2 linked regions of the Caenorhabditis elegans genome follow. The protein of the gene in region 1 purifies or fractionates together with the protein of each later gene. This does not show direct contact. Each region holds a gene or a part of one and is shown on either strand. Other genes may lie near its edges. The genes, in order: ebax-1 and sax-3.

The links.
Region 2: the proteins of ebax-1 (region 1) and sax-3 purify together in Caenorhabditis elegans (affinity purification with western blotting, with the first as the bait; one study listed by BioGRID). This does not show direct contact.

What each region holds. Positions count from the first base shown.
Region 1 is NC_003282.8:10,285,243-10,289,171, forward strand, and holds the start of ebax-1 (SWIM-type domain-containing protein), read left to right. Parts: upstream 1-1,712; 5' UTR 1,713-1,763; coding exon 1,764-1,823; intron 1,824-1,871; coding exon 1,872-2,338; intron 2,339-2,389; coding exon 2,390-2,689; intron 2,690-2,733; coding exon 2,734-3,706; intron 3,707-3,752; coding exon 3,753-3,929.
Region 2 is NC_003284.9:3,464,027-3,467,955, reverse strand, and holds the start of sax-3 (Protein sax-3), read left to right. Parts: upstream 1-2,028; 5' UTR 2,029-2,070; coding exon of another isoform or gene 2,071-2,100; 5' UTR 2,101-2,113; coding exon 2,114-2,186; intron 2,187-3,929. UniProt on the Caenorhabditis elegans protein: Required to confine migrating sex myoblasts to the ventral muscle quadrants during their migration through the body and for multiple aspects of sensory, motor, and interneuron axon guidance.

The sequences.
Region 1 (3,929 bases):
TAACCGAAGCGTTGTTATTTAATGACAAAAAATTTTGTTCATTTTAGGTTTTCATTCAAGAAAAGGAAGCAAAATTTAGCATAGCTGAAGACTTTTAATTAGTTTAACTCAAAAGCTACGAGAATAATCAAAAATTTAATAAAAAACCGCGCAAATCATTAGAGGATAATTAAGTTTTAAAACTAAAATGACAAAAAATGACAAAAGAAACAATGAGAAATCAAAACATGTTTCCTCCGTAAATCGACATTGAGTACTGTAGCGATTGGTCTCGCAGCGATGTTAATTTTCTTCTGTACTCCTCTCGGATAAATTTTATTATTATTGAACATGCGTATTAAATCGTTCATTGAACGGAAAATGGAGAGAATCGCAAGAAAAAAAATTATGATGAAAGTGCAAATAATTTAGAAAGGCTATGACACAGGTGATTCGCCGTTATAAAATACTTATGGCCACCAGTATTTTAGATGCAATTTGCAAATCGCTAATCTCGCTGCGGGACCACCAACATTCTAGCAATATATTGCTAATTGCGACTTTTAGTGCAAAATATTTGCTTCATCATATTGCTGATGCCTCAACTACATTCCATAAATATTTAAAAAACCGCGAAACACATGTGTATCTACTGATAAACTACATAAAGAAGTGAAATTTGTTAATAAAATCTTTGCATGAGAATTGTAACTAACTAGGGTAATTGATTTCATTTGGGCTTAAAATTAAACTCAACACATGATGAGTGAACAATTGGGATCGAAGTTTAGATCTAGAGGTTTTCCATCTATAAGTGAGCCGGTTACTAGTGCGATCAGAAGTTGTGAATTTGAAAAAATGTTTTTGATTAATATTAATTTCTCCACCAATTAGTTTCCTTTCAAACTTTTTGTCTTTTCTTCTAATGATCCAATTCCGTATTTTAGCCTACTTTCTGAAAAGTTCAGAAAATCTTTTTGAACTCCTTCTATTTCCTGTATTATGTTTCTAAATTTTTTTGGATTTTTTTTTGAATTACTGGAATGGAGATGTTTTAATAGGTCATTTACATGGTTATGTACAAATATTTTGACCAAATTATGTATTTACTGGGCAATATCACCTCTTTCAATAGGATTCTTTCTTTGTCCTCAAACTTTTCAATTTATGAGACAGAACTGACTGATTGTAATTTTATACCCAACTATGCAAATAGTCAATTCAATCATCTTAATTTATGTGCCAGTGATTCAAAAAAAATTCCAAAAAAATTTCGAATAAATTTTCGAATTGAAAATTTTAACATTACTTTGACCAGAAAGTTTGAAATTTTTTTTTTCAAAATTTTTATTTTGAAAACGTCTTAAAATGTTACCATGTTTATAACGCTTATTAAAAAAAAGATAAGACCTGAAAAAAACTCTTCTGAGTCATTTTATGAATCATTGATTTTTGTGAGAAAATGGCCTGAAGGGAACTTTAGATCTACTTTTTTTTGATTCAAAGTGTCCGCAAGCAGCTAAACTTTTCGTAGTGACTTTTTTTTGGAAAATGTTCTTTCAAATGAAATATGCTTCATTTCAAAGTCCATTAATACGTTGAAATACTTTCCTTGTAAGTTGAAAACTGAAGGTGTATCTTTAAAAATAAACAGCTTCTTGGGTGTTTGTTGTTTCCTAATAAATCTCTTAGATTTCTATGAATCCCTCAAATAAACATTTATTTTTTTCCAGACTTTCGTGTTCTACTCGTGAGTCCACTTCACACCTGCAAACGTTGGTGGTATGCTGCCAAATGCAGTGGGCAACAATGTATGGAACGGCCGCGATGATGTCTCATTTGAGGTTTGATTAATATTGAATATTATGATAATTAAAATAAATATCTTTTAGGATTCTGAGAGATTTGAGGAGGACTCACAAGTTTCACTAGACGAATCACTTGATGGAAATAGTCAGAATTGGAGAGGATGGACAGATTGTCAATCAAATTGTGAAGCAATCCAACCTGGACTTTCTTGTGTTGTTTACCAGCATTACAGTGCATCAGGACGGTTTTCCTCAGCATCAACAAGAACAGTGGTACCCGGGGATCCAAACAATCCATTGAGTCAACATCCAATGATGTCAAGAGGAGATGATTCAATTGGAACTCTGCTCACATTATCGGAAATTTCTGCAAGAGTTTGTGCGGAAAAATGGTCGTTTCAGCAACTTGAAGAAATGTACTCTCATATATGTACTTCGAGAGCAGAGAAACTTGCAATGCCTCCACCAATCTCCACTATTCCTGAGAAGATTTTTCTTTCATTTATAGTTCATTGTTTCCCACAATCTACTGATGAAATTCGAATGTATAGGTTAGTTATTTGCTTCCTTTTTGACAAAATATTTAAATTCTTATTTTTCAGTACTCTTGCCAACGGGTCATCTGAGCAATATGAACTTGGAAAAACCATATATGAATGGGGAAATGTTCGAGATGTCTCACAAACTGGTTTTCTACTCAGTGGTAACATCAGTAACTCAACGCATCCAGATACCCGTCCAATTCAATATGATGATAATTCATCTTTCCATGTAACAGTGAAAGTAGACAGATGTCGGATTGTCGAATGCACCTGTGAATGCTCGAATCGTTCTAGTTGGTGCAAACATGTGGTGGCATTGTCCATCTATCGAATTTACGAAAGGAGCAATATAAAATTCAAGTAAGCACGTACAAATCTCAAAAGATTCTAATTTCATTTTTCAGGGAAACCATAGCCGACGCAATCAATTCAATGAGTGATTTTGATCTTCGACGACTTGTTCAATGGCATATCAATGAGATTCCACGCAAATGTATTCCCGGGTTCCAAAAATTAATTGATCAAATCAAGGATCCACATTCAAATATAAACAATCTCCATGGAGCTCCCGACCCAACGGATGGTGGACATGATCCAGTCTCTCGTTACGATTTCCCAGAAATCGAAAGCAAAATTCGGAGACTTCTGATCAAATATTGTGTGCCAGCTCCCTCTGTTCATTGTGATATACAGTATCTCACCGCAACTCATCATCCTACTCATATTGAGTGGACAACCATGATTAAACCTCTTCGATGTCGTGATCCAGAAGGAATGTGGAATTTATTACAAATGATTCGAGAAATGTTTGCAAGAAACGATGAAAACGCTGTGGCACTGTTGAGAACTGTGACTGATGAGTGTCTATCAAACCATCAAGTTCTTTTATGGTGGTACATTACTAAATTGGTTCAGTCAGGGCATTGGGCTCAGACTTCTTGCTTCAAAGTTCCAAATTCCCAAATGCTCGCCCAACTGAATTGTTCTCAGCTTTGCGATGAAATTGTCATACTCTGGAAGTTGGTGGCACTCAATCCAAGAGCTGGAAAATTATACCGATCACAGCTAGTACCTTACCTTCAAGACTACCATCGAACTGCAGTTAATCGTTTGAAAAATATGATCACTTTGGCTCCACCGATTCCTGCGGAAGTCACTCAAACAACTGATGCTACAGTTCTAAGCAATCACCAAACAGCTGCAATACTCCAGACAATCACAAACATGGATATTAGATACCCTCTGTCATCTCAGAATATGAAGTTCACTCTGAATTGCTTCCCTGGGTTCTATCCAGCAATTCAAATGTGTAACTATCTAAATGAAAAAGATATTCGATTTGGTGTTCCCACTGATGCGATATTCTATGTTGATGCGGTATGTTTTTGTTTTTGAAAAAAAATTATATTCTAAGAATTTTCAGCCAAATCTATCGAACAGTTACAAGATGGTTCCACCTCACAGAGAAAAAGTGTTGAAAAAAAAGAAAAAGAAGAAGAAGCTTCTCAAAAGGAAGGTTGAAGAAGACGGACCATCGTGGCGCCGTAATGAGTATCAGGGTGTTGATGGAATTTGGAGAGTTCTCAATGAAGCAGATGCT
Region 2 (3,929 bases), on another chromosome or scaffold:
CTTCTGAACTTTTTGCTTTTCGGAAAAAGAGGTGATCTTCTCATTTCAACGAACAAACGCACTTTGTAAAGTGCCATAAAGTTTATTGTCCAGCTTCTCGCCCCGCCGACACCTTTGCGAAATTATGGTCAATTCCTGTCACTGGTTCTCACTTTTTTACTTTCCACATTTCCCCACCGTCTGCTTCCCCGCAAAAATCACAGGCTCTTCGAATCTCCCCACCTATTCTTGCGAATTTTATCGGTTCCACTACAAGTGTAACTATTGCTCATTGACAACGTATAGACACAACACGACAGATGTTGTATGACAGGGCCGGGTTTTCCTTCTTCTTCGTCGTCCTCCCGTCCCCCAATCGTTTGCCTCGTTGGTCCATGGGCATAGGTTCGGTCTACAATGGACCTAATGAACGGGTAGTCGAATGTGAGAGGAGGGCGGCCACGAATTGGAATAATTACTTAACCAGGGAAGGGGGCGACGTATAGCCCCGGCTATCCCCTCATATTCCATGCGGTTTCGTTCCGTATCGAGCCGCTTGCATGACATGGACATCCGTCATCGCCGTGCTCTTGACGCGCATTATTTAGGTTATTTATCTGACAATTATGAGCTTTCTGACGACCTTATTGAGTTGAGAGCTTTGATATGTTCTCGAGTACTTTCTTGTCTAGAATAAAGCGTATTGATTTTTCTTATTCGCCCGCCTGTTGCCAGATAGTTTATCTAATCAGTATTATTCAATCGCTGGCACAACATAAATCGATACTTGTCTCACTCCTCTTTGCGCGTTTATCTCCCCGCGCATTGCACACACACCTTGAAGAGGAAATCTGATGTCTAACATTCTGCGTCTACGCCTTCTAGCAATTCGTCTCAACGGTCCTCATTTTAAATGTTCTGCAAATGCATTTGTACTAAATTGTGATTTGTTTCTTTTTGGTTGTTAGAGAAACAATGAAAGCTTTTTGTATGTATAAAAATTTTGAACCATTTGGTGATGTTGAAAATCCGTTTTTCTTTTAATTTCAAGGTATTTTCCTAATTTTGGCCATTTTGCTGTGTTTGAAGTTTTTAATTTCCATGTTCAAATTGTAGCTATAGTTATTTTATTGATACTCTGGCAAAAATCAAATTTCCCAAGTAAAGTAAAACGCCTATATAGACTTGATGAAGTTCTACTTAGATTGAAACTTCAACGGATTCTTACTACAATCTTGCACAACTCCTGCGTAAAATAAAATTTTGCATAGCTTTTCGGGAGTCTTGTGCAGTTTGAAACAACTCCTGCACACTTCCCAATCTGCCACGAACTTAGTACTAAAGATTTTTTATATTTTTTGTCAGAGTAGGTTTCCTTTTTCAAGTTGCCTTTTCACTACACCAAATTTTGATTACGCCTCGCCGCATTTAAGAAAATCCTTTCAAAATCGACTTGTTCATTTTCTTTCATCTTCTATATCCATCCTTCATCCGTCCTTCTGCGCGTCATCTTTAACCAGTCTCACTACGTTTGCCTCCTAACTTTGCGTCCTCATTTTTTTTGTTGCTTGTCTTCCTGCTGGCTACTTTTGCCTCCCGTGCATTTTTTCTTTATTTTTTTTTGTCCAACATCTTCCGTCGCGTAGAAGACTAAATTTGTTCTTCATTCTAGAATGTGGCTCTCTAGTCCAATTTAGGGTCGGCTTCCGTCCGAATCGCTCCACCACCACCACCACCGAAAATGCGCAAAAACGGACGCACAAATCGTCTTCGCGTCTTGAAAACGACGACGACGACGCTCGTCAACTTTTCAATTACTTTGTTGTGTCTTTTCCTTTTTTCCTTCTAAATCTATTCTCCCGAGTGTCACCCTAGCAAAGATGAATGATTACACCCAGGGCCACGCTTTTTTCGCCCTTTTCCATCTTTTTCCCATCACCTATTTTGTCTTGTTTCTCCTTTTATATTCCCTCATTCTCTTTCCGTCATTTTGTCGCCCACTCTTAAAACAACCGCCAATAACTTTGATTACTTTTGTGTTTTTCTTGCAGGTGTCTCCCAACTGGAAATTCAGAACACCGCCACAATTAGATGCAGCCTTTGAAATTGGACACAGATTGAATAAAACAAGATCATGTTCAATCGAAAAACGCTGTTATGCACTATCCTCCTGGTATTGCAAGCAGTAATCCGAAGCTTCTGCGAAGGTTGGTTTTTTTTTTCTAGAAAAAAAATGTTAAGTTAAGAATGTACCAAAAGTGTCAAGTTACATGGTGAAAAAAACGCGTCGCCAACAAGACACGCTATTCGATCCACTCGTGGGTTTTCTTTGAATTCACTTGGAAACTTGGAAAATCCATTAGGTTGGGTTGTATTTCCCATGTCGAAGAAAGCGATTAAAACGAAGATTGACTGAATGCGCGGAAACGAATGCCCTCCATCTTGGAAAAATGCTCTTTACTCGCTGCTTTTTCTACTCTTGCGCTATTAGACATGACTCTTCATTTTGTCAAACACCAAAAGCGGGTTCGCTGCTTGGATTGTGAGCTCGTTTGCCGACTATAGTGTAAAAAGATTCGATTATCGTTTTGGACTGCCATCTGCCCTCTTGGCCGAGCCAAGCCCCGCTTTTGGATGGTAATGTTGAGAAAACAATAGTGAATAGGACGGGGGGAGAATAAATGGTATAGAAAATGAATGAGAGGAGTTAGTCTCATTGAGGCGCGTGTTCTCAAGTATTCACCATTCAAATGCTAATCTCTTAAAACAATAAGTCTTTTTGTACAGCGACCAGAGCCAGTGTAATTTGCAACGAAAATATAAGAAACAGTTGGGAGCGACCACCCGCAGACTCTCGATATTTGTCTTGTTCCACATTTCCACATTTCCACAATGTAATTTGTGCAATGTGCAAGTCATTATTCAATGTGATAAATTGCCCCAACCTGGGTCATTTAAACATTTTAGCACAGTTTTAAGATGCATGCGAATATCCGTAAAATTGAGAATCATTAGCATGCGGTTGATAGAAGATGAGAAGCTATTTGAAATCCCTCCCCAGAGACTAGTAGGTTATTAATGAGCTGTTGGCGCTGTCCAAAATATTCAGTTGCATCTCATGTTTTAGAAAGACAGCCTGCTTTTTAGCAGAAGCTTTCAACACCAATGTGTTGCGAAAGAATGACGGGCGAATTGTGAAATTGGGTGTTGACAGGATGAGATATGTGTACATCTTCACAGCTCTTTGGTTTTGTCTTGCCTATGGATGAAAAGGCGGGCAGGCAGCGTAGTATAATATTTTGAAGGTTAACACGGCCATTAAATTGTAGCCAGAGTACAATACATTGGTTCATGGATAGTTTACTCGCGTGCGCACATTTTGACACTGGCACGCTAGATTGTTGAAAGGTTAAAGAGGTGACAGAAGAGACAGAAGGACAGCCAGGCTAATTAAATTGTTGAATCCGGCAGCTTGTTAGCCACACTTTGGTCTGGTAATTTACTAGTGGAAAACAACAGTGGTCCGTATTTTGAAGTGGAGGAAAACAAGTCGGCCTGCTGAAATTTTTATTAAGTGTGTGCGCAGCAGTGTCAGGGTGAATGCCATAAACAAGTGATTCAAAATGGCTTTTTGATATTTTTTGAAGCAGATGGGAGAAGATGGGTAATCCGTCGGAGGTCAATGGCAATCTTATGTAATAGACCACCGACACCCAATAAACCAGCCGTTAATGTACTATCTAGGTTTTTACCACACTCACACACACACACACACATACATAAATTTTGATAAAATTCCTAGTGAATCATTTTATTACCTACCGTCCGTCAAGGACAATAGTGTCGCACATCTCTACTGAAAAATCGGTGAGGGAAGGTGTTCGTTTCGACACCATAATACAGATGTGACAGTATTGCGCGTGCCGGATCGGTCAGATTGATTTAATGCA